Notamacropus eugenii: one gene and its partners. The protein of the gene in region 2 interacts with the protein of the main gene of each other region in a biochemical or structural test. Links are inferred from orthologs where the notes say so. Each region holds a gene or a part of one and is shown on either strand. Other genes may lie near its edges. The genes, in order: RUNX1, FOS and RUNX2.

What was found.
Region 1: the proteins of FOS (region 2) and RUNX1 form a complex in vitro, tested with the Homo sapiens proteins (2 studies listed by BioGRID). The link is inferred for Notamacropus eugenii from reciprocal best matches to the Homo sapiens genes FOS and RUNX1.
Region 3: the proteins of FOS (region 2) and RUNX2 form a complex in vitro, tested with the Homo sapiens proteins (2 studies listed by BioGRID). The link is inferred for Notamacropus eugenii from reciprocal best matches to the Homo sapiens genes FOS and RUNX2.

What each region holds. Positions count from the first base shown.
Region 1 is NC_092876.1:423,814,750-423,825,543, forward strand, and holds the start of RUNX1 (runt-related transcription factor 1), read left to right. Parts: upstream 1-6,280; 5' UTR 6,281-6,400; intron 6,401-6,620; 5' UTR 6,621-6,680; coding exon 6,681-6,738; intron 6,739-10,794.
Region 2 is NC_092878.1:58,113,189-58,123,837, forward strand, and holds FOS (protein c-Fos), read left to right. Parts: upstream 1-5,479; 5' UTR 5,480-6,116; coding exon 6,117-6,257; intron 6,258-7,115; coding exon 7,116-7,361; intron 7,362-7,876; coding exon 7,877-7,984; intron 7,985-8,118; coding exon 8,119-8,760; 3' UTR 8,761-9,609; downstream 9,610-10,649. UniProt on the Homo sapiens protein: Nuclear phosphoprotein which forms a tight but non-covalently linked complex with the JUN/AP-1 transcription factor. In the heterodimer, FOS and JUN/AP-1 basic regions each seems to interact with symmetrical DNA half sites.
Region 3 is NC_092873.1:109,180,319-109,191,740, reverse strand, and holds the start of RUNX2 (runt-related transcription factor 2), read right to left. Parts: upstream 4,504-11,422; 5' UTR 3,350-4,503; coding exon 2,978-3,349; intron 1-2,977. UniProt on the Homo sapiens protein: Transcription factor involved in osteoblastic differentiation and skeletal morphogenesis. Essential for the maturation of osteoblasts and both intramembranous and endochondral ossification.

The DNA of each region.
Region 1 (10,794 bases), on a different chromosome or scaffold from region 2:
CAGTTCTCCTCTTCTTAAGGATAAATATCCTCAGTTACTTCAGCCAGTCCTTTTCACAGTATGAAAACTATTGTTCCTCCTCTAGGAGTTCTGTTGTATATCAGTGACCTTTCTAAACAGTGGCTCAATAAGCAACTCCTTGGGTATCAAACAAACAAGGCATCTCTGGGTTAATTAGTTGTATTTATGTCAGCTGATTCCCTTTTGAGTAAATTTAAGCCATTTTACAGATAAACCAAGTTTACATTCCTGATGATCTAGGTTTCGACGAAGCCACTTTGAGCTCTCTTCATGCCTAAATGAATGCCTCTTCTTTGACTGCGTTGCAGGATTTTCATCCGTGGCTCTGTCCTGGACCCTCTTCTCTTGTCCTTAGCTACAATTTCACTTGGTGATCTCATCAGCTCCCATTATCTCTATGCACATGATTTTCTAATTGACTTGTCCTCTTGGCCTCTCTTCTGATCTCCATTTTATGTCTCCAACAGATATCTAAAAATGTACATTCCAGAGACATCTTCAGTTCCAAATTGAAGACATGATCTTTCCCTTCAAAATTTCCTCTCTTCCTAATTTCCCTATGGCTATTGAGGGCACCACTATCCTCCCAATTACCCAGGCCAAACACCCAGGAGTCATTCTTAACTCTGCGCTCTCTCCCTCCCACATCCAATCCCTTGTCAAGTCCTGTCATTTCTGCCTTTGTAACCTATTATGTATGACGCTTCTCTTTGTTGAAAAAATTTATTTAGCATTTTATTTTTTCCAGTTACACGTAAAAACATTTTTTAAGATTTATTTTTAAAACTTTGGGTCCCAATTTCTTTCCTTTCTTCTCTCCCTACCCTGCCCCTCCACATTGAGAAGTCAAGCAATTTGATATGTTATACATGTGTAGTCATGCAAAACATTTCCATTTTGTCACGTTATGAAAGAAAGCCAAAAAAAACCTCAAGAAAAATAAAGTTTAAAAAGTATGCTTTGATCTGTATTCAGGCACCATCAGTTCTTTCTCTGGGGATACATAGCATTTTTCATCCTTAGTCCTTCAGAGTTGTCTTGGATCATTGTATTACTGAGAACAGCTAAATCTTTCACAGCTAACTATTTCACAATATTGCTGTACCTTTGTACACAGGACATTTCACTTTTTATCAGCTCATGTAAGTCTTCCCAGGTTTTTCTGAGAGCATCCTGCTCATCATTTTTTATAACACAATAATATTCCATAATTTGTTCAGCCATCCTCCAATTGATGGGCAGCCTCTCAATTTCCAATTCTTTACACCCAGAAAAGAACCACTATAAATAGTTTGGGATATAGACCTACTAATGGTGTTGTAGATCAATGGATATTCATGGTTTTATAGCCCTTTGGGCATAGTTCCAAATTGCTCTACAAAATAGTTGAATCAGTTCACAACTCCACCAACAGAGCATGAATGTCTCATTTTTCCCACATTCCCTCCAATATTTGTCATTTCCCTTTTCTGTACTATAAGCTAAATCTAATAGATATAAGGTAATGAAGTTATTTTAATTTGCATTTCTCCAATCAATGGGGTGTTAGAGCATTTTTTCATACGGCTATTGATAGCTTTAACTACCTCATCTGAAAACTGTTCATATCTTTGGATCATTTATCAATTGGGGAATGGCTCTTATTTTTATAAATTTGACTGTTCCCTATATATTTGAGAAAAGAAGGCCTTTATCAAAGAAATCTGCTTCAATTTTTTTTCGCAGTTACTACTGCTAGCTGTGGTCTTATTCCCACCCCCTCCATTTATTCTATTATTTCTCCCCTTTCACCTTGTCTCTCATTAAAAGTGTTTTGCTTCTGACTACTACCTCCCTCAATCTGCCCTCCCTTCTATGACCCCGCCCCTCTTCTCATCCCCTTCCTTTCTACTTCCAAGTATATTTCTATACCAATTGAGTGTGTTTGTTATTCTCTCTGAACCAATTCTGATACGAGTAAGGTTTACTCACTCCCCCTCATATCTTCCCTCTTCCCCTACACTGTAAAAGGCTTTCTCTTGCCTCTTTTATGGGAGATAATTTACCCCATTCTACTTCTCCTTTTCCCCTTCTCCCTATACATTCTTCTTTCATTCATTAATTTTATTTTTCAGATATCCCCCTTCATATTCAACTTACACCTGTGCTCTCTGTCTACATATACTCCCTCTAACTGCCCTAATAATGAGAAAGGTCTTATGAGTTACATGTATCATCTTCTCATGTAGGAATGTAAGCAGTTTAACCTTATTAAGTCCCTTATGATTTCACTTTTCTGTTTACCTTTTTATGCTTCTATTGATTCTTGTTTTTGGAGTTCACATTTTCCATTCAGCTCTGGTCTTTTCATCAAGGATGCTTGAAAGTTCTCTATTTCATTGAATCAGCCCTCCCTCACACAAAACAAAGTCAAGTGCAAGTAATGTCATTATTTCTCTGATGGCATGATCTCCTTTGGCAACGAAAGATGAACATACACCATTTCATTGAATATCCATTTTTCTCCTGAAGGATTATATTCCATTTTGCTAGGTAGATGACTCTTGGTTATAATTCTAACTCCTTTGCCCTCCATAATACTATATTCCAAATCCTCCAGTCCTTTCACATGAAAGCTGATAAATTTTGTGTGATCCTGACTGTGGCTTCACGATATTTGAATTGTTTCTTTTTGATTGGTTGCAATATTTTCTCCTTGGCCTGGGAGGTCTTAAATTAGTCTATAATATTCCTCTTCTCTCTCTCTCTCTCTCTCTCTCTCTCTCTCTCTCTCTCTCTCTCTCTCTCTCTCTCTCTCTTTCTCTGTCTCTGTCTCTCTCTGTCTCTGTCTCTCTCTGTCTCTCTCTCTGTCTCTGTCTCTCTCTGTCTCTGTCTCTCTGTGTGTCTGTCTGTCTCTCTTTCCCCTCTCTGTCTCTCTCTGCCTCTCTCTGTCTCTCTGTGTATATGTGTGTGTGTCTGTCTCTTTCTCTTCCCCCTTCTCTCTCTCTGTCTCTCTCTGTCTCTCTCTCTCTCTCTCTCTCTCTCTGTTTACCACTCTCCTGGCCTGTGCTCTGGTTTATGAGTGACCAAAATCATCCTTTTCTGCCCTAGAAATACGATGAGGGTCCCATTCCATTGATGCCATAAGCTCTGGTGTCCTAGTGTTCCTCTTCTCCCTGAGACTGCCACCCAGAACTGAGACCCAGATTTGACTATGGGCAAAGCAAAAGACTTACCTTAGTGCTAACAAAAAGACTCTTTAGTCTCCTTCTTACCAGGTGTTCAATTCCTTTACAATCTGTGAGCTGAGAGCTCCAGAAGCACTTACTGCCATTGCTGATTCAATGGTTCCCAAGGCCTGCTCCTGGTTTGCTGGGGCCTGGTCTGCAGCCTGCACTGGACTATACTTTCACTGAGTTGTGATAGACCTTTCCTGCTGACCTGCTAAGTTGTCTTTGTCTGGAAAAATATTTAATTCGTCCTATTGTGGGTTCTGCTGCTCCAGGAACTGCTTTATGGCATTATTTGAAGGTGTTCAGAGGGGTTTAAGGGAGACTTCAAGTGAGCTGCTGCCTTTTCTCCACCATCTTGGCTCTACCCCAGCATAATGCCTTTCTATAGACTTGGGGAAGGCAGCACACAAGCAATTTAAAATACTTGTACTACAGTGTGAGAAATATGTATTTATATATGTGTGTATATATATATATATGATTTTATTGACATAAAAAGCTTCTAGTGAGGAAATGTCTATCTACCAAAGTAAAGCAAAAACTTATAATTTTAGAGAGAGACAGACAGAGAGAGACAGAGAGAGAGCGAACAGTATAATCAGGGTTCAAATCCCCTCTTTGATAAATATTGGCTTGTGTAACCTTGGACAAGTCATTGAACTTCTCAAAATTCCAGGCAATACTCTGTTTCCCATGCCTTCTCTCTGCCTGGCTCTCTTCTTCTGTCTCTCTCTATCTCTGTCTCTCTCTGTCTCTTTCTCCCTCCCTCCCTCCTTCACATACGGACTGTCTTCTTTGCTTATATTCGCAGTTTAGTGAAGTTACAAAGGCAGACTGAATTCAAGAGCAAGAGAGTTTTTGTACAGTCACTAGTTGAGAGACCAGGAAAGCCCCAACTGTTGCTTCACAGGGCAATGAAGTTATCCTGTGGCTAGTGTGGCATCTAACTGTGGGGACAATGTTTCATAGCATGCATTCAAGTGCGGGTACTCTTGCCCCCTGGTGTTATGTCTGAACCCCAGCTGTATGTGATTGCATATGTCAGACCACAGACAGCTTTACCCTTAATACAGTCTTGAAAATTTTTCCTTGCCTTTGACCACTCCATCAAGGGACCACTCTTGACCATGTCTGTACCCACAAAATTAAATTGAGGATACAAACTATTTAGCTGGATAATTCAAGCAAAAATAGCCAAATGCTTTTTGCCTGAAGTATCTAAATACTTCAGGCAAAGCTTGTGGGGAGGTTTAAACAGAAGTATCCAAATGATCACATCAGTTCTCCAGTTGATTTGTATGTCATTATTGGCCCTAACTAAAGTTTGCAATGGTAGCTAGACTTGAGAGCACTGGTGGTTAGGATCCTTGAAAGATGATTTCTTTGAGAAGGGCCATTTGTAAAATAATACATAAAACAAACTGCTCATGGATTCAAGTGGAATTTCAGCTTTATCAATTGACACAAGAACATTGGAAATGATGAGTAAATTCCAGTTATGCTGCTAAAAAATAATACATGGTAAAGAAGCTTTATACAAAAAAAAAGGCATCTAAACAAGTCATTACACAAAAGCAGGCAGAAGTTAAAAATGTGGCAAATAGATTTTTTCAAGAGTTTTGATGACTTTTTTTCTGAATATTAATGGTCGCTATATACAAAAAGAACTGGAGAAAAATGTCTATTTAAAGTCAAAATTAGATCTTTTTTCTTCTTGTCCAGCAATGGACATTATTTTTAGGCCATTTCTATCTGTTGCAAAGTGAAACAGAAAATCAAGGCGATTTGCTGATATTTTAAAAAATACATTTTCTGGTCATATAGACTAAATTAGCGTTTAAGTTCTAAATGGTATACGTAATCACCTCAGTTCTTTACTTCGCTTGTATTCATTGCTTAGATTGTTTTGAGGTAAATGCTAGAACTTAAGAAAATAAATGATTTTTTTTCATCTTGTTTGAAAAAATGACTTAGGGAAGGACAAAATGCTACTTTTATATGTAAGCCTAAGAACAGCAAGTAGGAAAAATAAATAAATACGTACAATCAGAAGGTTTTGCCCATATGTAAACTTATTTGCTATTTTTAGTATCTCAAATAGGAGCCTTTGCACAGGTCATCACTTGTACTTATAAGGAGATTTATCAGTGATCCTACCTGGTGAAAAACAGAGTTCTCCTAAATATGTTCTGTAGAATACTTTGACAAGTTGAAGATCATAGTGACCATACTCTTAGACTATTTTCTCTACAGTTGTGAAGTAGACTCTCTGCAGGTTTCATTTAACTGAAGAAAAGTTGGGGGTAGTGGAGACAATTTTTGGAAATTACAACAAAGAAACATTACCTATGCAACAGGTACTGCGTTGCTCAGAAATGAATGCTATGTCTCTTCATTTTTCCTCCAATGGACTGCAATTAACTGTTTGATCTTTTGTCAAGGAATGGTAGTCCCTTAAGCCTTTTACTAGAAAGATGGATCTAAACAGAGAAAATCATTTTTCCATAAATGCAAAATGTTCCATTCATGAAATTTGAAAAAAATAGAATTTGCTTAAACGTTGTCTTTTTTCTTTTCTTTTCTTTTCTGCTTTCATTTATATTATTGTACTCTTTAATAGGAACTGAACTTTCCTAAAGCTGATGGGTAGTATTTTAGATTATAGGGTATGTATCCTGTTTTGACAGCAGCCTGATGCCAGGACCAAATTACTATTGAATAAGCAGCAAAAAAATCTTTATCAAAATACTCAGTAGTTCCAAAAACCACAAATAACACCAGAAGCAAAGTTGTACTAAATCAGCAGAGACCATTTGTATAACAAGGGACTGAGTCACTTTTTTTTAAAGCATCTCTTTTGCTAACACTACTATTTCCTTGCAGTCTGGAGTGGGGGGGCAGTTGGGGGTAGGGAAAGCATGGCTCAGAATCTTAAAAATGACATCACTTAAGTCACATGATTGGCAAGAACCAATTAAGATGGGCTGTGGAAAGGGGAACAGTTAAATTTGTAATTTTGGTTGTGTGAAACACTTCTTTGGGGCCTCATAAACAACCACAGAACCACAAGTTGGGTACGGTGGCAGTCACACAAGACTGGGTCCGGGATATTGGTCAGCAGGCAGGGCAAATCACACTGTCTGCAAACCACAGAGTTTCGTAGAGCGGTAAGCATCACCAAGCCACAACCAAGCCACTACGAGGCTCTTTTCAAAAAAAAAAAAAAAAGTTTTTGATCTTCAACCATTTGAATAGTTGTTTTCAAAGAGGTATCTTTCATAGGGCTTTTGGAGGCTCCTAAGTACCGGGGTAAAAGCAAGATGTAGAGAAGGATGGAAGGGGTAAAGGGTTAAAACAAATGACTCTTCTTGGTTTTCACTTCCTAAGGTGAAAGAAATCCTATAGTCCCCCAACTTTAAGAAAGGACTACATTGGAAGGAGAAAACTATGACTTCGGACAGCATGTTTGAGTCATTTCCTTCATACTCACAGTGCTTCATGAGAGGTAAGTGTTCTTCAGACTTTGAAAATGTACTTCTGCTTAGTTTTGCATAGAACAAGGAGTGGCATTTCAGTCCGTGGCACAGCAATGCCTGAAACTCTTGTCTATTCTGCGTGAGGGATTCTGGCTGAGGCATATGATTACAAGGCGATTGGGTTACTTATTCATCATATGGCAGCTCTTCAGAAAAGTTTTTCAGAAATAATTAGTTAAGCTTCTGAGGCACTCGGTTGGTATTTAAGAAACTTTTTCAAGTGCTAGTCAGTTAGGCTTCTGTTTTTAAAGTGCTAAAGATTATAAAGCTATTCCAAAGCTCTTTGGGGTTTACAGTGATGTTTTGTGTGTTGGACTGTTAGGTCTTAGGTATCCTGAAACAGTGCGTGCCGGCTGTAACTCATTCTTAGAGGTTCTTATGTCTTAGCGTGAGCACATGGATGCAGCCAGTAGAGAGGAATGCTGTCTCATTTATGATACCTGCCAGTTTGGGAAGAAGGAAGGATGAGGTAAAACCTTGGAACTCAGGATTAGAAAGGACAACCCATGTGTCTCAGAAAGGTGGGAACTGGACAGACTCGTTTCATGTGGCTTTAGCTTTAAAATGTCAAACTGTGACAACCCTGCATTGCCAAGTAAACACATTGAAAGAAACAACCAGTTCTTTCCAGAGACAGAAAGAAGTCAAGCTATAGCATGCAGAAGTCTCTCCTTCAAGCAAAAAGAAAGGAGTTTCAGTAGACTTGTGAAGTGTTCTTAAATTCTCAGTAGAGCAGATGCTTTTGTCATTAGACTTCATGTTTACTAATCTGAATTGCCAGTTTGGAAAACCCGTCTACATTCATGCGACCCGACTAGATCAAATTTTCTAAACTATAATTAAAGTGAACTTGCTTTTATTTCGGGGTGGTTTTGTTAAGTTTGTTGGGGGCATGGTTATAACCTGACCTTATTTTTTTTTAATAAAAATGTTCAGTGTTTTGGTATGACCATGCAGGTTCAACATTCAGAATTCCTTGTTGGCATAAGGAAGGCTTTTGAGTTTGGGGGACTTTTTGTCACGGGGGAGGGAAGGTGAGAGTGGAAAATTAATTTACTTTCTCTTTATGGGTATAAAATCTTTAGATCCCTCTCAAACAGTGCCATAGTACTTTTTTTTTTTAAATTCATACTAAAAAATGTAAGCAGAGGCAGGCAGTTACTATTTCTCAGGATCTCTGAGATTTGAAAACCCAATTAAGATGTGGGGAGATAAGGGAAAGGGAATGAAGCAAGGGTCATTAACAGATTTAAAACTTCAAATTAAAGGTTTTAAGTTATTCTTTACTGGCATTGGAGGGAATTTTAGTGAAGTTGAATCATGAGAAGTTTTATGAGTCATGCAGTCTTGCAGGATCTCTTAGCTTGCAAAGCACAGACATCAGACCACTAGTGAAAAGCTGCTAACTACTCCCCTGGCTCGGCATTTCCTTTCAGCTGCTAACAAGTAAAGGAAACAATACTTGCAGAAAACAAAAAAAAGTACCTTCCTGCATTTACTTTAGTTTTACACATTCCCTCCCTCCTCTTTCCCCCCAAAATGTTTATTATTTCCTACTTTGTTAACACAGGAAGACTTATTGAGGAAATTTTAGAACATTCCACAGGGCAATAGATTGGAGTCCATCATATAATTCTGGCATGTGAAACTTCCCTTACAGAAAGAGCACAGAAGACTGTCAAATGATTTATTATTATTTATGCAGTGTTGACAAAATAAAATGAGCCCAACTCTAATCCTGGCACAGTAAGTGTGTTCTAATGCTAGACGAACCAGTTCTTTAAAAATGGATCAATTTGCCTTCAAGTGGGTAGGTATGGAGAGTTCTAGGATACTCAAAATTAGACTTAGAAGTCAATTATCACTTTCTTCTTTTCATTAAACAGAAACTTAGGCCATTCAGAACACTTAACTTTATGGAATACAGAATTTTAGGGTTGACAGAGAATTCAAGGGGCAGCTAGCTAAATCCCCAGACTAAGAGGATGACCTCTACAATATCCTTAAGAAGTAGTCCTAAAGCTTTCACCAGAAGACCTTCAATGTGAGGGAGCAGCTAGCCCCTTTGCACTTTCTGATAATTCTAATATGAAAATATTCCTATCATTGAACCTAAATCTGCTTCTCAGAAACTTCTACCTATTGCTGAATTCTACCTTCCATGACCAAACACAAGTCTAATCTTTCTTCCATATAACAACCTTTAAATACTGCAAGAAAGTCATTGTAAACCTCTAAGTCAGTTCTGATTGTCCAGTCTCTCCAATGAATTCAACTGATCTTCATGTGGTATATTATCTAGACCCTTTACCATCTGCTGACCTCCCTCTACTAGCTAAGTTCTAGTTTGTCAGTCTTTCCTAAAATGTGGCAACAAGAAATAAAAAATATATGCTTTATGTTTTCTAACCAAAACAGAATACAGGAAAACTATTGCCTCTTTCATTCTATGAACTTTGACTCACTCAATGCAGCCTCAGATCATGTTAACTCTTTGGTCCATCATGGAAGTAACCCTGATATCTGCCTGAAATAATTTTGGCAATTACCATTTATTTTACCAACAATGTCACTATAAAGTTATCTAGTTTGGGTGACAACGCCAAGCACTTTAATTGTATATCTACCAATTTTTCATTTTATTTGGCACTATGTAGACACAGTCTTAAGAGTCTGATGCAACCATAATAACCACTTTCTCAGACGTGTTCTCTCCCATATTTCTCAATACTGTTTACATAGCCTGGACATTGGCAATTTCTAAAGCAATCATTCTTGCTCCCTGAAATTTATTGCATTTTGCTCCCTCACCAAGCGCAATTACAAGCTGAAAGGGAAAATAACAGTTTGTTTTCCTCCATGAATTTGATTTTATCAGCCCATGCAGTCCTTGTAGAAGGAAATCCATAACTCTTTTTTAGCTTGATATTCATGTGAAAGTTGGGGAAAATAGGGGGGGGGGGGATAGGGAAGCAAGCAAACAATTGCTCCCTTCTTTGTGAGAATACTGTCAGACTCTGCAAGTCTGACATAGTAAATGAATGTGGTATACCACAAAGGATATGGCTCTTTTTCTATCATACCACACCAGGTCCTCACTTAGTTCACTTAGGTAAGGAAGCTAAGACACTGGTGAAATTCCCTGGTGTGTACATCATACATATTTAGCACATAAAATCATCCGTCCAGCCCAGGCTTTTGGCCTCTGAATGACTTATTACTAAAAGGGGGAAAGGAAAAGAAAGAAAGAAAGAAAACACAAACACATAGCTGCTTTTGCAAAGCAACAAACAGGTAGGCCGCCTTGTTTTTAGAAGTGGCTTAGTGGTCTACAGAAAGCCTAAACATTGGCATACCTTTGAGTTCCTAGAACCACAGGTACAAATTTCAGCAGTTCTGACTTGTTCATCATCTCTATGGCTCGGTTATGCCAGAGCCAAGTCTTTCAAAGAAAACCATAGAACAAAGGCTGCATTTAGTTATATGCTATGCACAACAAAGAGCAGTGAATGCTCATTAGGATCTTAGATTATTAGAGCTAACATAGAACTTACAGATGTTCTAGTCACTTATAAATGAGGAAATTGAGAACTGAAGCGTTTCAGTAACTTTCTTAAAACCACAAACTTAGAGACAGAATCAGACTAGAAACTTAATGTCCTCTTCTTTTTCTAATACAATAAATCAATTTTCATTTACTAAGGAAAAATATGTATTAAAAAGAAACTCCCCTGAATCACTGAAGAAGTATTAGCAATAAAGCTCCAGGGAGTAAAGATCATTAGACTTTGGCTATGAATGTATTTGTGCTAGACTTATACAGAGCCTTCAAAGTTCTCAAACTATAAAAAAAACTGGAAAACAAAGTGTCCCACCTGCTCTAAGAAGATGTAGAACATGTGGTCTTCAGGTCTTGTTTTGCTTTGTTTTTGCAGGACAAAAATTTTTACATTCTAAAATTGTCCATGCAAACAGAAATTTGGGGGTAGGGCAGAGGTGTGAAGAAACCCTCACAATCTCAATTT
Region 2 (10,649 bases):
ACCCTGGCATCTTTGGAGCCAGCTGGAGTATATTCCAAGGGCCATAGAAAGCTTCATTAAAAGGACTACACAAGCAGAAGAAAAATCCAATTGAATCATCATCTCTTGTCCTGATGCCAAGAGCGTTTCAGAATGAAAACACATTTGTGCCCAAAGTGGCCAAATCCTCAGCCTTAATTAATTTGAGGGGGAGGGAATTCTATGCAGAAAGTATTTTAAGGCATGGACTATCCTTGTGTTCTCCCTCTGAGCCACCAGATGAGTAACTTTGCCCCTATGACCTCCATTGTCCTGGTGCATGTGTGGAAGGCAAGAACTGGTTACAGCTAATTCTGGTTGCCATCTCTAGGCATTTGGCCTGGATAAGTTATAGTGTGGTAACAAATAGTCATTTCGAGAAAGACAATGTGGCTTTCATAGATGGGGCTGACGATCTTCCTCATTTGGCTCATTAATAGGCATTTGCTTTATCCTCCCTCCTTCACTACTGGAGATTTTCTATTCATTATGGGCCAAACTAGCAAGAAGTAGCCCAAACTTCTTGTGCTTACTTTACATTTTGAAGTTTCCAGCTATGTAAGAGACACACACACACACACACACACACACACACACACACACACAGCCTTGCATACCTTTGAATGACAAGAACTATTTATTTAGAGCTGGAAGAAACTTTAGATGTCATCTGGTCCAATTCCCTCTTTTCACAGATAAGGAAACAGAGGTCCAGAGAGGTTACCTGCCTTGTCCTGGATCACACAGCTCTCAAGTGACAAAGCTGGGATTTGAATGCATTAGGTCTTCTTACTGCAGATCCAGTGCTCTTTTTGGCTTCTTTTTCCTCAGAAAGGTTTTCAGAATGCTATATTAATGCTACCATTCATTTTATTTCCTTCCCTAGAGGTTATCTATAATTCATACTTTATTTACTTTACGCTATATCTACAAAGTGTACTTTATACAATGTACACTTCAACATATCCTGTATATCCATTAGATTGTATCCATTTCACTTAACACAATGGCTGGCATATGATAGGTGATTAATAAATGTTTGTTGGTCACTGTTTACACATTGATGTTTCTATGTTGTTTTACTCTTGGAGGGTGGGCTTCCTGAGGGCATGAACTGTTTTGGTCAGTAGATAGATGGCTAGGCCTGAAGTCAGGAAAACTCTACTTCCTGAGTTCAAGTCTAGCCTCAGACATTTACTGGGCAAGTCACTTAACCCCGTTTGTCTCAGTTTCCTTATCTGTAAAATGGTTGGAAGGAAATGGCAAATCACTCCAGTATCTTTGCCAAGAAAATCCCAAATGGCGTCATGAAGAGTTGGACATTATTTATTTGGGCAACCCAGACAGGATTATCATCACTGTTACCATTTCACAAACTGGAGATGTGAAGATGAGAAGCCATTTGACTTGGTGAGAAGTAACTCTCCCAAGGTCGCAGAAGGAGGCTTTCTGACTGAAGGTCTCGTGCTCAGACCACAGCCCTTTACCACCAGACCACACTTCCCTAAATAAATAAATACTTCTGCATGTTGTGTGCAGACTGTGCGCAGAGACATTTACGTAGGAGGTGAGGATAGCAGCCTTTCACTTACTGTAGCAACACTAAGCTAAAAAATACTCACTGACTTCACTTAACATTTCCTATCCCTCAAGAAAGCCTTTTGAACCAACAGTTTGATAACTTTAATTCAAATACCACAGAGGTTTAGAAACAAGAGGGAAATATATACTTAGGAAAGGACCAATAAGTAAAAGCAAGTAAGTTTTCCATTGAGTTACAGAAAAGATGAAGACTTCAACCTCCAAATGCTGAAGGAACACAGTGATAAATGAATAGAGTATGGATCTTGGTATCTGGAAGACCCTGCTTGAAATCTTGCCTCATGGTAGATTGCTTGAGTTTAAGAATTCTGAGCTGCAAAGGATTAAAGATAATCAGGTGTCCTTACTAAGTTTGTGCTAAACATAGTGAACCCTTGGGAATGCCAGTCTGCCTATGGATGGGTGAACCAGCTCAGGTCAGAAAAACTGAAGAAGTTAAAGCTTCCAAGCTAGGCAACATTGGTATCAAGTCATGAGAGGCTGGTACATTTCCAGCCTTGGAGAGATAAGGAAACCCAGTCTCACAGATAAAATAAAATAAAATCCTGACTGAGACACCTTGGCAGACACCTAAATACTCTCTGCCTCAATTTCTTCATCTGTACAATGTGGGCAATAATACTTGTGCCACTGTCATTGTGTTGTTGTGAGGATAAGATGTGATAATGCAAGGCAACTGCTTTGTAAATTTTAGGTATCATTGTTATTTTTTTAAGTCATGTGGCCAAGATGTTTTTGTACCCAGAAAAGTGCCAGATACTTTACTGTCATCCTCTAAGAGCCTAAGCTTGAGGGTAAAACTATATTCTCATCACATGATACATAAATGTGACTCTATAATAAAAATGAATTTTCATTTTTAATAGATAATCCTCCGCTACCTTCACTAAAGTCTTACTCTGATGCCTTGTTATGGTATGGAAGTGATCCTAAGCTATTCCAACAAAAAATAATCTCTGGCAAGTCCTTCAAAGTTGCAAAGGTTTAAAAACAGGAATGCAGCCAGGTGAGAGGAACACTTGCCCCCTGGGTTGAGTTATGTTCCAATGTCTTTTCCCTTCTTCTCTCCATTTGCATAGATGGCCAAAAGAATCTTGGGGTTGAGAACACTGAGAGGCCTTCAAAACAGAAAGCCCTTGGCAGGTTGATAGAAGAACCTCTAATGCTAATGTTGACAAGGCACAGTTTGGAAACCAGACAGGGAACCACAAGGAATTTCTAACCCCAAATCAGACGAGATTTCTGATGGAAACCCTGCCCTTGGTAACAAGAAGTCAAGATTAAACAAATAGATGAGTCTGTGGTTACTACTTAGCTGGGACTACTCTGTGTCCAGAAAATCTTGGCAGCAATGGTGAGAACTATTTTTTTTGGAGATGAAGTATCAGGTTCTGAAAAGTGACAGATTCTCTCTATGGAAGGAAAAGTTACTGAGAGTTCTTGCTTTTCTCCTTCTTTCTCTCTCTCTCTCTCTTTTTTTTTGGTTAAAGGGTGTAGCTTGCGGGAAAAGGGGAGTAGGGAAAGACATATTTGGAAATGAAGCTGATTTCAAAACTAAGGCTATCAGTAACATTTTTTTTTTTAAATTCCAAAAGATAGTTCTCTTCTGGCTAGAGGTTTTTCTAGTTGGAAGCAGAGGGATGGATTTGATGACCTTTTCAGGTCTCTTTCAACTCTGATGATTATATGATGGAGTTCTAGAGAGAATAGACATGAGAGCATCTAAGGACTCATTTTTCACTATCTGTTTTAAAAATGAGGCAAAAGGGGAAAGCGAACATAAATTCTTGAGAGGAAATCTTGACACAGTTATTCACCAGTATTGATTCTGGAGGCCTTGAAGGGAACTGAATGAAAATATTACATATTTTCTCTTAGCTAGCTGTAAGACCAAGCTAGAAATCAAAAGGGAGGTCAGATTCAAGGAATTTGGAACATTGACCTAATTTTTCCAGATCCGATAAAGAAAGGGAGTGAAGGATGAAGGGAAAGAGTACTGCTTTTTATCATAGGTACATCTGCTTTCATAATACTTACCTTTTTAAAGACCAAGGGCAGTAAAATGCAGAAAAGTCGAGAAGATAGGATTAGAGAACAGAGCAAGATCTTTTTAGGATTCAGAGCTGCTCTAACAGTTTTTTGTTTTTTTTTTTAAGAAGGAACAAGGGGATGGGGAGTGACGATTCCCGAGTTTAAAGCTTCAGTAACATAAGCCAAACAGTGACATAAAATGATGAAATTCTGTTTTCACCTTTGCTCTGACAGAGTATCACAAAAATAGCACATGGCCCAGTTCCACGAATCTCCTCCTTTCTCTTTTCCCTCTCTCTTTTCTCCCCCTCCCCTCCCTTTTGGTTCAGATCTCTAAGAATGGAGGTTACCGCACAGCAGCTGCGGCGGCGGCGGCGGCAGCAACAGCCGCCGCAGCAACAAAAAAAGCCCCCAAAACAACAAAATTCATCAGTCACTGAACTTAGCAAATGATCTCAAACCTCGGGAAACAGCCACAGCCCCAACAGATCCCATCCTCCTTCCCAGAAGGGATCTGGCACTACGTTCTCCCTAGCGCCTGGGCTGCTGCTCCCTGCAGCGGTCGCTTGGATACTTGAACTGGGCAGGCTCCTGTTTGTTGCTGTAAACAGCGGCTCCCCTGTTACTATCTATAGCCGGGATCTTTTTGGCTTCTGGGTGAAACGGACTGGGAAGCAAATAGGCTGTCAGACTCCAGGCACAGCCCTACACAATCCAGGCGGTGACCTAACGCGTGCCAGGGGACCTGCGTGATGCATCCCAATCCCCCACTACACCCAGAACAGTCCAGGGGCGTTTTCTGATTACGTTGTAACTAACAATACTGCGGTTGTTTCCTATGTAGAATTGGGGGTACCGAGACACTCCTCCCCTCCAACCACACACCCTCCCCATTGGCTTTTCACCGCAGCAAACGCTGCTCTTTTGTGGCTCAGAGGTCGCCAAGCTGAGCCTCGGTTTCCAAGGCAAAAATCAGGGGTGGTAAACTGAGGCTGCTTTTGGAGCAGAGAGGTTGTTGGTACTCTGGGTTTTAGACGGGTCTTGGCACGAGCAGACAGCTTGCTCCAGATGACTTTCTCGCTAGAGAAACTTCGTGTCTTCCGGACTGCGGAGATACTTCTGGGTTTCTTGTATTTTTCCGAACCATTTGAAATAACCAGCCCACTGAGCTCAACGTCTTCCTTAGCCTAGAGTCCCTATTCCACCCACGCTCCCCATCCCCAAACTGGAAGTACCTATTGATTGCTCATTTTGTGAACTCAATTTCCTAAAGTGAACTAGATAAACTTTTTTTCGAGTGTGTTCTTGGAGAGGAAGGGACCGTCCCACTCTAGTATCTGGCTTTGCCTTGCCCACCCGGAGTTGAGCTCTATCCCCCACCCCCTTACTCCTCCTGTACCCCTCTGTCTTCCGAGCCAGGTTGGATCAAGTTAGAAGGTAGCAAATTCCTCTTTATGTGGTGGTTTGCACGACAAACACCTATTAATTCTTATTAATTCATCTATTAACAACAAAACGCTGTAATTATACTAGAGCGGGGTGGGGGTGGGGGAATCTCCTTTCTCTTACAATCCTGCCCTCATCATAGGTCCTTTCGAAAAGTTTTTGTATTTTCTGGCAATCTTGTGCACATTTGGAGACCACCCTGTGGCTTCAAGCAAGGGAAGCTGAGTCCAGGTCCTGAGCAAAATTGGGAGAACAAATAGAGAATTGGGGACGAAGCTTGCGTGCGGGTCAAGGGACAGATCTCTAAAACCCAAGTCTCTGCACTTGTGTCAACATCCACAAGTCCCTGAGCTGTCTCCCAGACCACGTATGACTGGGGTTACAGGGCCACAGGTCGGTTGAAAGAGAGGTGATAAAAGGTGATAAAGTTTGATCACTTTGCTTCCCTTCCCCCCACACCCCTCCCCCCAAAGCCTTCTGGTCTACCCTACCCCTCAACGACTTGGCTACAGCCTCCTAGCAATTCCCGTCAGTCCCTCCTCCTTTACACAGGATGTTTCCCATATTAGGACATCTGCGTCAGCAGGTTTCCAGGCCTAGGAACGCTGAATTTTGAGTTTAGGGGAGATTTTTTCCAGGGATATCTCATGTGGGTCCCTGCTTCCTTTCCAAAATCCATTATAAAAATTCTACTTAATTTAAAGATAATTTGAAAAAAAAGACAAGAGGTTCAAACCGACAGGACACTTTGAAGAGCCCCACGGAGCAGGCCGGAGTGTAAGGAGTCACCCCTCCCGTCTAGGAATGGACTCTACCCATGACGTGAGGCTCATTCATGAAATGCTGGGACTCAAATAAAAGGAGCAGCTTCGCTCTCGTACTCCAACCGCATCTGCAGCAAGCCGCGGCGGACGGGACCGAGCAGCTGAGCGGGGATCGCGCTCATACAAAGCAAAGCAGCCTGCTCCGATCTGTCCCCGCCCCCACCACCCTTCCACCGGCTTCTTACAAACCTCAACATGATGTACCAAGGATTCAACACCGAGTACGAAGCATCTTCCTCCCGATGCAGCAGCGCTTCCCCGGCGGGGGACAGCCTCTCTTATTACCACTCCCCAGCGGACTCCTTCTCCAGCATGGGCTCTCCTGTCAATTCACAGGTAAGAGACTCCGCGAGGCGAGGGGCGCACAGCTCTGGGGGGTTTGCTTCTGATCGGGTTTGGGGTAGGGGCAGAGGAGGAGGAAGGGCACTGCCTCCCTGCAGAGTGGCCGCCAGGCTGCTGCTATTCTTAGGTACTGACCATACCGTGAATTTTCGCAGTCGGGTTTGAATGAGGAGTTCTGAGCGCACCCTTAGAGGAGAATGCTGCTTCCCTTTCATGGCTCCAGAGTGGAATTGCCTCTTCTTTTAGAGCCACTCTCCAAGAGGGAGGGAAGAAAGCAGCTTTCTCCTTCCTAGCAGCCCTCCCAGCACGTTCCTCGCATTATTTGCCGCTGATGTCTGATAAGCGTAAGGGGAAACGTGTCACGGAAAAAGGCTAGCATAGTCCTAGGTGATGGAAGGCGTCAGAAAAACAGCTTTCCCTTTGCCCAGATAGACTTCTCCCCGCAGCTAAGGAGCGGGAAGGGGGTGGGGGGGGCGGAGGGTGCAAGCGGGAGGGGTGTGTAAGGCAGTTTCATTGATAAAAAGCGAGTTCATTGAGGAGACTCCGGAGCGGAGCCTGCGTCAGTGCAGACGTCAGAGATATTTATAACAAACCTCCTTTCATGTGAGTGATGCTAAGGGGATAACGGGAGCTGTGACTGCCCAGATAGAAGAGCGTGGTTTGCAAAACACTTCGAGGGAAATGAGGAGACCCTTTCAAATGGAAATAGAACATTTTATAAGAGGAATACAACAGCTGTTCCTGGAGGAGATAGTTTCTTTCTTTGCAGTCGCAGTAAATGCACCTCACCTTCACCTACTTCTGAAACCTGGAATCCCACCAACGTCAATTTTTTTCTTCTTTTTGTTTTAGGATTTCTGCACAGATCTGGCTGTTTCCAGTGCCAACTTTATACCAACTGTGACGGCTATATCGACAAGCCCAGACCTGCAGTGGCTGGTCCAGCCCACCCTCATCTCTTCTGTAGCCCCATCCCAGACCAGAGTCCATCCTTATGGAGTCTCTTCTCCTTCAGCTGCTGTTTACTCTAGGGCTGGTATCATGAAGACTGCAGGAGGCAGAGGGCAAAGCATTGGCCGTAGGGGCAAAGTTGAACAGGTGAATATATCTCTGTGTAACCTTTCATGACAAGTGGAGAAGGATAGTAGTGGGTTAATGGGTTGAGTTGGCTGATGGAAACTTGTCGCCTGACACTGACAGGACTGGTTCTGAATGCCTTCACTCTAAGACAGAAACCTGCACTTGAGACAACTGACACTTTCTTAGTTTGCATACCACCACTATCACTTTCCCCCTAGCACAATTTGAAATGTAATGGGCAGATTCAGATAGGTTGTACACTTTTAAATTAATAAGTATGAGGCATTCAGAAGGGAAGGACTCTAGGACTCTGATGTAACAGAAGCTAGAGTTTTCTTTGTTCTCTGGTTGAGGATCTTATTTTACATTCAAGTCACACCCAGTCTGCAAGTGCAGGTTAGAAAAGGCCTCACCCAAGAGACTATTAGGAAAGGGGTGGGGGGGCAGCCAGAGGAACAGGTGGGATAGTGAATGGAGGTGCTACTGTAAAAACTGTAACTGAGCACTGAATGTGGATTTGCTTATTTTTCTAGCTTTCCCCAGAAGAAGAGGAGAAAAGAAGGATCAGGAGAGAAAGGAACAAGATGGCTGCAGCCAAATGTCGTAACAGAAGAAGGGAACTGACTGACACACTCCAAGCGGTAGGTGTCTACTTGGGCCATTCCTTCTAGGATCTTGGGGGCTGAAGAGAAAAGTTGCCTATCGGCCATGGGACATCGGGGACTTAGCTGAGCTTGTCCAAGTCTCATGTTTTCCTTTGTTCCATTGTTTACAGGAGACAGACCAACTAGAAGATGAAAAATCTGCTTTGCAAACTGAGATAGCCAACCTGCTGAAGGAGAAGGAAAAGCTTGAATTCATCCTGGCAGCCCATCGACCTGCCTGCAAGATTCCTGATGATTTGGGCTTCCCAGAAGAAATAACAGCTGCCTCCCTTGACCTTACTGTTGGCCTGACTGAGGCTACAACCCCAGAATCAGAGGAAGCTTTCTCCTTGCCCCTCTTGCAGGAGACTGAACCCAAACCCTCTGTGGAGCCAGTCAAGAACATCAACAGTTTGGAGCTGAAGGCTGAGCCCTTTGATGACTTCCTCTTTCCAGCTTCCTCCAGACCTGGTGGCTTAGAATCTGCTGCTCGTTCAGTGCCTGACATGGACCTGGCTGGTTCCTTCTATGCAGCAGACTGGGAACCTCTGCACAGCAGTTCCCTGGGGATGGGAGTAGCAGCTGACCTAGAGCCACTGTGCACCCCAGTGGTCACCTGCACGCCTACCTGCACCACCTATACGTCTTCCTTTGTCTTCACCTACCCAGAAGCTGACTCCTTCCCCAGCTGTGCAGCAGCTCACCGTAAAGGCAGCAGCAGCAATGAGCCCTCTTCTGACTCACTCAGCTCCCCAACCCTGCTGGCTTTGTGAGCAGAGGAAGTGAGGGTGAGGGTTGAAGGCACAGACAAGAGCCCAAGCTATGGGTTCTGCTGCCGCCACCACCACCATCATGCTGGAGCTTTTGCATCACATTACAGAAACGAGAAATGTGTCTTCCCCGCAATGGTTTCTGTAGACCCTGGGAAGGCAACTATCTGTGCGTGAATCAAACCAGGCCCTTAAGGACATGGATGATCCCACGTGTGGACTTGAGTCCTTACCTCTTCCAGAGATGTAGCAAAACGCATGGAGTGTGTATTGTTCCCAGTGACACATCTGAGAGCTGGTAGCTAGTAGCATGTTGAGCCAGGCCTGGGTCTGTGTCTCTTTCTCTTTCTCCTTAGTCTTCTCATAGCATTAACTAATCTATTGGGTTCATTATTGGAATTAACCCGGTGCTGGATATTTCCAAATTGTATCTAGTGCAGCTGATTTTAACAATAACTACTGTGTTCCTGGCAATAGTGTGTTTTGATGATTAGAATGACCAATGTTAACTAAGAAAAGATATGACTTTATTTTCTAGTAGATAGAAATAAATAGCTATATCCATGTACTGTAGTTTTCTTCTACATCAATGTTCATCATAAATGTTACTGATCATGCATTGTTAAGGTGGTCTGAATGTTCTGACATTAACAGTTTTCCATGAAAACGTTTTTATTGTGTTTTTAATTTATTTATTAAGATGGATTATCAGATATTTATATTTTTATTTTATTTTTTTCTACCTTGAGGTCTTTTGACATGTGGAAAGTGAATTTGAATGAAATTTTAAGCATTGTTTGCTTATTGTTCAAAGACATTGTCAATAAAAGCATTTAAGTTGAATGCGACAAATGTTGTGAAGTTCTCTTTCTACGAGTCTGGTGAAACTTTGATATGTGACATATTACCAAAGGAAGGGACATAGCCTTCTGTCTGATATCAAAGAAAGAAAAATTCGTTATTGAGATTGAAAGTCTTCCCAGAATTAACTTTGTTTTTGGAAATATGAGCTTACATATTTGTAAAGGTTCTTTGTGTACTTAAGAAAGCTCCATGGTTATTGCTGGGATGGGTTCTTTCTTCTAGTTCTGTCTCATGAGCTGTGAACACACCATGACGGGTATATCAGTGCAGATTTCAATCCATTTATGCCTTAGCATAGATTTGGACCTGAAAGGGACCTTAGCGATCATCTTGTTTTACTCCCTCTTTTTTAACAAAGAAAGAAAATGAGACCTAGTAAACTTAAACTTAGACCCAAGGAGACAAGTTAGTTAATAAGTAGTAGAGTGGATTCAATCCCAGGTTTTCTGATTAAATCTAGTATTTCTTTTCTTGTGCTATGATGTCTCTATCCCTCATCCTGCTCTTATCTTGTCCATTTTGAAGATCCACCCAATGGTTGAAAGTTTACCTTTTGACTTTTTCACATTCCATGGGTGCCAATGGAGTACTTTGGATCTAATTGTTTATTGTAGCCACATGACTGGTAGTTCTCCTTTTCTGATCATACATTCCTTGAACATGCTCTCTCTCATACACATACATGCCTGCACGCACACACGCACGCATGCATGCGCACGCACACACGCACTCTACCTAATCATAGATTTACAGCTGGATAGGACTTCAGAGGTCAATGAGTCCAATACCTCCATTTTACCAGCAAGAAGACTGAGGCCCAGAATGGTTGAGTCATGCCCAGGGGACACATAACCTTGTGTCTGAGGTGAACATCAAGCCCAAGTCTTTCTAACTCTTAAGTACTACACCTACCTACCATACTGCTTCTAACTTTTTTAACAGCATAAAACCACAAGATGCCATTTTAATCTTAAAGGATTCCTCTTGGCAATCTCAAAAATAAACCTTAAAACTGTATTTATATAACA
Region 3 (11,422 bases), on a different chromosome or scaffold from region 2:
TGGATCTCCAAATATCGGACAAATATGGTCAAGCATCCAGATGTTTCTAAATGTGCAGATTTCTGGAATCAGAGAGCATATGTAGCCTAATCACTGGACTTACAAAGTTTTACTTCAGATGCTTGGTGTATCTGACACTGCATATCCATCTTTTTATCTTATATTTCTAATAAATTTAAATTTTACAACTCTTTAACATGTTACCTTCGAATCTAATGAGAATTCTGGGCCTTTTGAGTTGGCAGATTAAATACTTATTATTATTCACAAATATTCCAAGATTTTCATTTTTTCAGGACACAAAATGCTAATCATTAAAAATGACTAATTAATAAGGGAAGATGGCAAAGACTAAAAACAATTTGATGAGCCAGTTGCAAAGTGAAACTTGCCCCCAAGTGCAGCATCCCTTTCCCATAATACTCATTCCGATTTCTGTACTGATACTAACAATATAAAAAAAACCTATCTAGATAACCAGTGCTTTTAATTGACCTGGAATTTTCTTTCTTTCTACTTCCACCCACACACTGCATCTGAATTGTTGAGTGGGGGAAAAGTGATCAAGGACTAGTAGCTGCGATTGGCCTGTGGGAGTTTTGGCACCAGCCCCACTACGGGAATAACTGGCATAACCTCCTCCTTTTTTCATTCCCGGAACTTTCCTTACTTACCCCAATCTCTATTGACAGTACCAACCCAAGGGACCCAAATCCAACCTGTACAAGTTCTGCTAATGAGGGGTGGTGACGATTAGTATAGCCTTTGGGAGAAAAAAATGCTTCGGTCTAGTTTACGTTTTGGTTTTGCAACTCAGAAATCTAGGCCCCAGGGGTGACAACATTTGTTTTTTCTTTCAGGATCTCCTCTTTATCTTGAACAAGTCCCCAGGTTATCCCACTGCCTGGGAAGGTGCTTCATTCCTGCCTCCACAATTTTTGGGCAGCCCCTGCTTGTCCCGGAGCCTTCATCTGGGCTGCTTCACTCCGTGTTGCAACAGGCTGAGGACCACACACTCCTCAACCTGACAGGGTGTTTTCCCGAACCCAAACTCACCCCTAGAACTGATATTCTAACCCAGATAACGGTATTTGCTAGGCGAACTACCAGGAGCGACAGGGGGAAGACGGAGAGAAGACAGATTGGTAAAGCAGTTAACTTGGACTTCTCCCGCTGTTGCCGGGTCCAGTTCCCCTAGTTCTTCAAGTTCGTATCTCTTCCCGCAAAAAAGGTGAGGGGGTACTAACCCACCAGCTTAACTCACACGGCTTGCTGGAACTTAAAGCGATGTAAAGAGAAAATGGGAATGAGAATAAAGGAAGCAAAGCTGTTTTTTAAAGGCTATACTGAGTTTTGTTCCAAACTTTTAAAGTTAGAAGTAAAATTTTCAAGTGATTTCTCCCTCCCCACCAACTTTCCCAGACTGAGCTCTAAGAAGAAAGAAGAAAATTGGGACGGGGGCGTTCAGTACGTGAGGATCTCTGTTTAGTCCAGTGGCACCTCGGGGGTGTAGAAATGGAACTCACTCCGAATCAGTGCGGACGGAGCCCGGGCACACATATAGCCCCTTTGGGGGCCAGATCCTCGCCCGCCCAGCCCACTCTCGGCCCTGGAATACCTCAGAAGGCTCCCCTCTCCAGCTCTTCCACTTCCCCCTTGAACCCCACAGGAAGACAGGAGTTTTTCTGGACAGCTGCAGAGAGCCTCCAACAGCCGCCCCGCCTATCTCTTCCCAGCCTCAGGGACTGAGCGAAGCCCGTCGAGAGTCTAGAAAAGCCGGCATCCTTAGCTTGACCTCCAGGGCTTTCCTGCCCTGGGGCCCAGCTGCCCAACTAGCCCAATGCCAGATCCTCTAAACCTCCTCGGGTAATAATGGGTTTCGATGCTCTCGGGCAGAGTCCCTGGGCATCGACAGAGAGCCCAGCCCGGGTAATGATTTCCCCCGGAGACCCTCTGGCATGATAAAAGAGATGGCACTGAGAGGTGGAGGCGAAAGAGAGAAAGAGAATACTCTAAGTGGCTTCGACTCTTAGTTTTTCCTTAAATCAAATAAGAGACTATAAAAACTGTGCTGAAGGAGAGGGGGCAAATAGAGCCTATATCCCTCGCCGCCACTGCGTGCGAACACAGATGGAAGTCTGGGCAAGGGAGGGGGAGCAGTAGAAACTGAGCACTGGGGGAGTGGGTTGGAAGCGAAGAGGTGACGAACGGAACCGTGGAGAGGACACTGGTCCCGGGATGCTATGAGAGTTAAGGACGGTGAACGAGGGAAGGCTGGCGGTGTCGGGGCTTATAGCGCCTAAGTGATTGGAAGAAAGTTACCAGGGGCTGAGCGAGGAGTAGGACTAAAGCAAAGGCAGAGAAGCAGGGAGGACTACTGCTGGAGAATGAGGGGGTGAAGTGGTAAATGAAAAGGTTGAAGGGGGAAGAGGTCAAAGAAAGAAGGTGGGACAGAAGGTAAGGGGGGGGGGGGGGGAACTAGACATTTGGAAAGGTGGCTTAGAGTCTAAAGAGGTGCACTAAACTACCCTGGCGGCAGAGAAGGGAAAGTGGAGCTGGGATGAAGGGAGAAGGGATTAAAAAGGTGCATCATTGCGAAGTTAGGGGAGCGAGCCAGCCGGGAGCTGGAAAGCACCATGCCCTTTTTCAGTTCGGATTAGAAGAAAGGTACACACGGGGGTGAGGGATTCTTGGTTAAAATGGGAGAGTCAGATCTCTTCGGGAAGGCGTTGGGGCAACCCTTACATTTGTGATAACTGGTAAGGGATCAAGACAGAAGAATGCATCGCCCCCTTCCTCTGAGGGAATCTGGGGGAGCCGGCTTCCTCACACAAACACACACACACGAACAGGCATACGCACACTCACTGCCTGGTGATGGGGAGTTCAGACGGGCTGCGGTACTGGGTGAGCAGGAGGGTGGAGGCAAGGGTCAGAAGGGCAAGGCGGCAGAGAGAATCGGCAGCCCCTTCCTTACCTTGAACGCCACGGGCAGGGTCTTGTTACAACGCCAGTGAGAGGGCAGGACGGAGCACAGGAAGTTGGGGCTGTCCGTGCGGACTAGTTCAGCGGGGTGGTCAGCGATGATTTCTACCATGGTGCGGTTGTCGTGCGGCGGGCGCAGCCTGGGCACCGCGGCCGCCGCCGCCGCCGCTGCTGCCGCCGCCGCCGCCGCAGCCGCCGCCGCCGCGGCCGCCGCCTCCTGCTGCTGCTGCTGTTGCTGCTGCTGTTGCTGCTGCTGCTGCTGGGCAGCCACTACCGGGCTCACGTCGCTCATCTTGCCGGGTTGCAGGCTGCTGGAGGGGGGGCTGAACCGCCGACTGGTGCTCGGATCTACGGGAATACGCATCACAACAGCCACAAGTTAGCGAAGTGGCCGGGGGGGAGGGGAAGCCGGGTGAAAAAGAAGGGAGAAAAGGAAACCAGGAGGGAGAGAACGAGGGGAGGGGGAGAAATGAGGGGTGTAGGCAATGGGGTGGAGGAGATAAACGAGATCAAGTTCGATGGAGCCAAAGGCCAGGAAGAGTCTGACACTAGGCGTGGGGAGGGGGTGGGGGAGGGGGAGAGTGGAGGTGCTGATCAGTTCGGATTGGCGGGGTGGGGAGAAGAGGACGAGCAGTTCTTTTCCGGAGTCTTTGGAAAAACCGAGGGTGGCAGCCGAGAAGGGGCGCGTGGGTGTGTGTGGCGGCTGGGGGGAGCTTGTGGTTGGAATGGGTTTAAATGGGGTCCCCTCGGACGCCTGGGTTCCTGGTCCTCCCTGGAGCCCCCCTTTCCCCAAGTCCAGTTCTGCAGACGGCTTCTTGTTCAGCAGCGCCCAGCTGGAAACAGCATAGCCCCGGGACTGCCTGCTGCCGCTGCTGCGGCCGCGGCTCTTCGCACAGCTGCCCAGCTGCAGCCCTCTCCTCCGCCTCCGCCTCCTCCTCCTCTTCCTTCGCCGCCTCCTGTTGCCGCTGCCGCAGATGCTCCCCCCTTGTGTTCTAGCTCACTCAGATTACGGCTGCCGCCGCCGCCGCTACCCTCCGCAGCTTCAGGCCTCCTCCACTCTTTCTCTCCTTCTCCCCCCTCCTCTTCTCTCTCGCTCACCACCACCTCCTTGCTTCTAAGTGCAAGAGTTTCTTTTCCTTATGATTTTCAAGGTGCCGGGAGGTAAGTTGAGTCGCAGACGATCTCTAGTCCTAACTTTGCATTGTTGCTGTACTGCTGCTGTCCACCAGCGGGGGAGAAACACCAAGGAGGACGAGACTGTCTGTGCCGCAGGTTCGGGATACCGAGCCGGTTTGGGTGTCGGTAGATGTGAGAATGGCTCCCAGAGAGAGAGAGGGTACCTCTACTTGTCCTCTTCCGGTCTCCCCTAAAAGACCGGGGAGAGCTTTCCTAACCAAATGTATTTAGGAAGCCCAAGAGGTGGTGGCTTGATCCGACAGCAGTGAACTTTTCGTTTTTCTCAAAGTCTTTCTGCTGACTTCTTAATCTGTCTCTCGCTCTTCACCCCCGCCACCCTACCCCACCCCCACCACAGCCAAAAAGGCTTGAGGGAGAAAAAAAGTTCTTATTTATTTGTTTTTAAAGCGGAAAAGGGAGTGGGGGTTGAAATATTGGTCAGAAGAATAATTAAAAGAGAAAAAAAGCGTGACTGATGACAGAGGATAAGAAATAAACTTTTTTTCTTACACACTCAACCTTGTGACTGCCAAAGAAGAAGGAAGGATTAAAAACAGTTGGAAAACTGTCAGCTTGGTGGTTAAAATAGGTCGCAAAAAACTTGCGGGGGGGGGGTGTGCGCAAATAGGCAGTTCCCGGTGCGTTTTCAGCCCCTCAAATCTCTGCTGAGTCTAAAAATGAATAAATTAAAAATCCCCCCATAACTTTCTCCCCCCCAAATTCAGCGGGTGTAATTTATTTATTTGTATATCAGAGTTTAAAGGGGGGGAGAAGCTACTTTGGATCCCCCAAAAAATGTGGTCGAAAGGATGAAGGAGCGAGAAAAAATGCCTCAGTTTTTGTCCTAAAATGTGGTTTTTGGAGGCTGGGATTTCTAATGATTAGGTTTTTGTGGTTTATATAGACAGGACTCTCTGGCTAAGGCGATCATTATGCTGATGAGAGTCAGAAGCACGTGGGTGTCTCCAGCCAGCCCTCATACTCCGTAGCCTTCAAAATAAATACAGCGATGTGCTTCGCCCACAGAAGCAGGGTGGGGGTGGGGGAAATGGGAGGGGGAGAGAAGAATCTTTTGGCATCAATTTCACCCACAGGAAGGGGGCGGGGGGGGGGGGGGGTGAGAGAAGGACCGTTTTCTCCCTTTGCTCGATTGTTACTGCTGCTCTCCCGGCTTTTCATGAACATTTTCCTCTTAACAACTTGAAGATCTTGTTTTTCACAAAATGAAAATCATGAGTTGCCGGCGGAGTTTCTGAGACTCCAAGTGAGGATCCGACACAATCTACATTTCCTTAAGTGAATGAAAATTCTGCATCATTCCTTAGACTTTAAAGATAAAGTGTAACTGTTTTCTCAAAAAAATAAAAAAGCTTGCTGAAAATAATTTACATACCCAATAGTAATTTTTTAAAAATATGTAAACACCTCCCCCATATCGATAACAACCTATGAAAATCTTCCTGGTAATTTCTAAGGCTTCGCTTCAATTTACTGCTCCAGTTAAAAGGTTGGATTGTGTTTAGGCTAGAGGGGTCTGCGTTTGAAAGGTGTTGGGGTGGTGGGGGAAATGCAGAAAGCGTAAGTGAGGGGCATTGGGCTCTTGGTGGTGTTGACTTTGAAACTAGTTTCAAGCCCGAGATAAACTCCGAGGTCTATTTTTAAAGATACACGGAAACAAGAATCGCCCCAGTCCTGGAGGACCAAAAGAGAGCCTAAGAAAGAAGTGTGTGTGTGTGTGTGTGGTGTGTGTGTGTGTGTGTGTGTGTGTGTGTACGCAAATCAAAGGAATGAGCTTCCTCGGACCCAGATTGCACATACCAAAAAAAAAAAATTCCTCCTCTTTGGGGATATTTTTTTCCCTTTCTTCCCTGTCTATCCCTAATTTCTCCTTTCTTTTTTCCATTTTTGTTTTACTCTTTTTACTAATTTATTCTTTGTGCATCCGCCTCTCGACCCTAAACCATACACACAGATACATATACACATGCAAGCACAAACTTCCTTCCCTTTCCCCTCCCTTTTTCTTTCTCTGCCTTCCTACAGTTGCTACTGTCGCTGACAAGTTCTCCAAAAAGAAGGATACAAAAGCAACAACTTTCGGAAACAACCCCCTTTTTCCCATTGCCCCCCCACTCCGATCGCCATCCGTAAGTCAGTTCTCCCCCACCCTCCAAGCCTTGGCGGGCGCAAGTTTGTGGGATTATCCGAGTCGAGTTTATTATGCATCGAATTGTTTGTACGTCTGTATGTACGGTTTTTGTTTTGTTTTTTGTTTTTTAATAATCTTTTTAGTCACAGGGGAGAGCTCTAATTCTGGGCACTGTTCACTATTTGCAAACACCGCGGTCAATTTTCCCCTTGCCTGAGGCTGCTGTCCTGGAAGAGGAAATTCTATTTTTTTTTTTTCAAAAACCAAAAGATACCTCTCAGTTTGTCACTGTCCCTTACCCCGTTCCCCACCTTTTTGGGGGATGAGGAAAGGACCAGACAATACCATTCCCTACATTGGCAGAGATCTCTTGGTATCAATCAAAATGAAATTGCGCCAGGGATGCAAAATGCAAAAGAGGGGAGGCGTTGCAGGAAGTGAAATTATTCCTCTGGTTTAAGGGAAATAGGAAGCTTAATAACCAACAAGCCAGATGAAAACCATGCCTTCTCCACCCTGATGTCCTTGCCCAGGAGAACTACTGAATTAGAAAAAGGTGAAGGAGAATTTCAACACCCATTTTCAAATATGGGAAAGCTGAACTTTTCTTTTTGTAAAAGAAGATTTAGATCAGTTGGAAAGTTTAACCAATAACATTCAGGACTTTCCCTCTCCTTTTCCTTCAGTGTTTTACCTTTCAATATACTTTATATGTCAAAGATAGAATAGGAGTATTGGAATAAATAGTAGAAGTCGCTAAGGTATAATTTTACCCTATTTACAAATAAAACTCATGGAAGAGAGAGAGGGCAGTTATGGAGAATTTAGTGAATGTCAAAATTATTTATTTTAATTAGTCACATCCGGTAGCTGAGTTTTATAGACACCTTCCCTGTCTTCCCCCTATTTCACATTTCTGTAGAGGGAATATAATCAGCTATTGGAAGGTACTTGTCTCGATCTCTTAAAATATCCTACAGTTATTTATAATGTGGAAATGAAATTTTCCACTGAATACTCTAACAAAGTTTCAGGTATCTGGCACTGGTGATTTTTCAGGCTCCTTGCAAAAATATCCTGCTGAACATTTACACTTTCAACTGGAACTGAGTGAAGCCTGGAACGGATCTCTTGGCTCAAAGCATTATTTTTAAAAGAAGAAAAAAATTTAGAAACCCCTGAATAAAACCTCCCCTGGTAATAAAAGGCACATATGAAAACAGTATGGAATTTTAAATATAAATGTACATATATAGTTATAGTTATAAATTTTATGATCTCACAATTTGGTTATGATTTTCTCTTCTCAGAAAACATAAGGTACACAACTTTCCTTAGATTCTTCTTAGAGAATACTCATTTTCTTGATTCTACTTAATGGGGTCAGAAAGCAAATAACCTTAGTAGAAATGTAGCAGCATTGAAAATTATGTTCCAGAATAGGATGTCAGTGGAAAGATAATCCTCTTACAATTAGTACAAATGTCTACCAATGATACCGAGTGATTCTGCTATTCTAACTTTACAATGAAAAAAGTGAGGTATGAAGAGATCGGATTATTTGTCTATTCAAGTAAAACAATCCCAGAAATGGTAATAGATCACATCTCTGCATCCAGCTTGTTGGTCCTAAACTCTTGACAGCATTTTATATTTTTTGTGATGTGAATTTCATCATCAAAATGGCAGACCATAAAAAGTCAACTTCAATGGCTTTCCAAATAAAGTAAATCTTTAAAGCATTTTTCAAGGGATCAGCTAATAAAAACTTACAGTTCCTAAGTGGAAAAACCCTTCAGTACAATGGAAAATTACAGATGTGTTAATGGGGCCTAAAACTCTGCATGTATCAAATGGGAAGGCTTTGTAAACAGGAATTCACTTACAGGGCTTTACTTTGTACTGGATGGTGTGATTGTAGTATGGTCATAAAACACCTTCACTAAGTGTGCTTGTAATATTTGTATCATTACAAACTCTTATATTAATTAATAGCTCACATTTATACAGCCCTTTGAGGTTTGCAAAGCACTTTCCATATGTTAACTCATTTGATCTTCACAACAACCCTGAAAAGTAGGTTATATTGTATTGTCCCCATTTGACTGAGGTCAAGAGAGGATAAGTGACTTGGTAAAGGTCTCCCAGCAAGTAGGTATCAACATCAGTATTTGAACTCAGGGCTTCCAGATTAGAACTTCAGTACTGTATCCATTGTGCCACCTAGCTCCCACAAAGAGAAAACACCTCAGGCCCACAGCAGAATGTGACAGCAGTAAAGATCAGGTATTTGATATGATTAATCAATCAGTCAACAACAATTTATTAAGTACCTACTATGTGCCAGGTTTTAGGAATATAAATTTGAGGTAGTCCCTGCACTGAAGGAGTTTATATTTTTACTAATATACACAATCTCTGTCTGCAGTCTGCATAAAATACCCATTTAAAAATGAAGAATTTGGAACATGAATTAATTATTTGGTGCATGATTCCAAAATTCATTCTTGACTGATATTTTTCACTGTTTGCCAGTTCTTTTGAATGTCTGTGTATACTATAGAACTTTCATTTTTTAAAATTAAGAAACTGGGAGAAATGAAGAGAAGAAATTTGGATATTATTTGAAAGTAAGGAACAGGGCTCTTTGCTGGATACCTTTATCAATCAATCAGTCAGCAAGCATCTATTAAATTTATTCTGTATTCCAAGAATTGTGCTAGGTAATGAGGATAAAACTCAATAATGAAAGAGTCCCTGCCCTCAAAGAGCTTAATTCAGAGGTAAGGTTATGAGGGGAAAGGACAGTAAATCTTACCAATGCTTTTACTAGTACATAGACTTCTCACTAGCTTCATCCTCACTAAATAACAATAGCTCACATTTCTATAACACTTAAAGGTTTGTATACTGCTTTATATGAATTATCTCAATTCAGCCTTGTGACAACTCTGTGAGTTAGATGCTACTATCATAGTCCACATTTTACAACTAAGGGAAATAAGAATCAGAGAGGTTAAGTTACCTGCAGAGTCACACAGCTAGGAAATTGCTGAGCCAGGATCTGAATGCAGTTGTTTTCTACTCCAAGTCCAAACCTCTTTGACATCATGTGTATAGGTCATGTTGTATATTTTAATTAATTTTTCCACTTACTCTTTCTCTGGATTATTTTTAACAGCTAATTTTTTCAAGGCCCATCTGTAGTTATAATAAGAAATAAAATATCTGTAGTGGGAGACTCAGGATTGTAATACTGCTCTCAGTTAGTTATCCTGTTATTTTATCCAGTGGTCCATGGTGATCTTTTATAATAAAAGCATGCAGTGTTATTATTAAGGTAGATATGAACTTTAATTATTGTACTTTATCATCAAGTTGGACACTTGTTTAGTTGATCTCTAAGTATGGTGCTCAAAAAATTGTAAACTTTGCATTACCCTAAAAGAGCAACACACTCAAAGGTACCCTGTTGGCATGACAAAGTTCATGCAGTTTCCAAAAGCGTATCATCTTTCATCAGTTAGTGGAGGGAAAATAATAGCAATACACTTTTATAGCACTTTAAAGTGGGCAGATCACTTTCCATACATGGTAATACTGATCAGTACTAATTGTATAGTATACAAAATCAGCTCTGTGGTTGGCAGCATTCCAAGGTACTACAGCAATGCTGGAAGGGTGCTGAAATATTGAAGCAGTATTTTGTGAAGCTCTGCAATCAAACCGTGAAGCGTTGCCTCAAATCGAAGGTTTCTTTTGCTATTCCTTACAGCATGATAAGGGTCCATCATCATCATATGCCATAATTTGTTTGGTAATTTCCCGATTAATCAGCACCTCCTCAGTTTACATAGTATGAAGAGGATGGTTTCTGAGAAACCTGGGAAGACTGCATGAATCAATGCAAAGTGGCATGTGCAGGACCTGGAGAACAATTTAGGCAATAATGACAGTGTAAACAAAACAACTTTGAAAGACTTTAAAATTCTGATCGATATAATCACCAAATGCAGTTCTGGAGGATGGATGAGAAGGAATGCTCTCTGCTTCTTGAGAGAATTGGTGGAGTCTATTGCAGAATGAGATATATTTTTACATGGCCATTGTGGGGATTTGTTTTGTTTGACTATGCATCTTTGTTACAAGGGTTTTGTCTTTGTTTATCTTTTTTTCCCATGGTAGGCGAGGGGTGATGGAAGGAGGGAAAATAAATTCTGCTAATTGAAAAAATAAAATGAAAATGAAAAAAAAGAAGGCTCCCTGAATTTTCCTCTATTCAGTATATTGTCACTACCCAAAGGATTGAATTGTTTCTCCTCCTTAGAGATTTTGACTATAGTCTGACCTCTTTATTATCTCCTGTGATCTTTCTTCAGAATGAGTCATACACATCATAACTCTTTCAGGCAGAATGTAAAATCCACTTTACTACAGGGTAAGTAATATATTGGTAAGCAAGATTCAAACACAGTTTAGTCTACTAGAATTTGGTATGCCTTCACATATAAATTCATCTCCTTGCTCCAACCCCAGTGAAGGCAAAGAGTTATCTAAACTTTTTATTTCACCCAGTACTGTGCTCTGCACAAAATAGGGGTTTAATAATTTTGATTGAGTTTTTGAACCTGTCTCATACTTGAGTTAACTAGACCTCTTAGCCTCAGTCCTTGGGGCTACCAAGGTGTCTTTGGAAAGCATTTTTAATTAGAGGTCAAAACTGCTTGCCTTTCAACTCCTCAAGGTGGTGGTGGTCCTTCTAGGGTGGCATTCACAAACTCTTCCACAAGGTTCTTTTCTTAAGCTCCCCCTGTTTAGGTTAAGTTCCAGAATAATTTTCCTCCTTCCTCCCTAGCCTTCATTAAGTCCCACAAACAAAAATTTTTTGCTATAATTTTCTGGCCTTGAATTATCTTCCTGAAGCTCCTTTTTTTTTTAAATTAAAAAGACTTTTCTTCAGATTATCTCTATCAAGTCATGTTTTCTTCAAAGCCACATTTCTTGCCATAGAGTTTTATCTCTCTGACCTCAAGACCTCTACACCATTATTCTATCTTTATTCAGCCAACTCTGGGTCATTATAAAATCATCTTCTTCAAAAATTTCATTTAT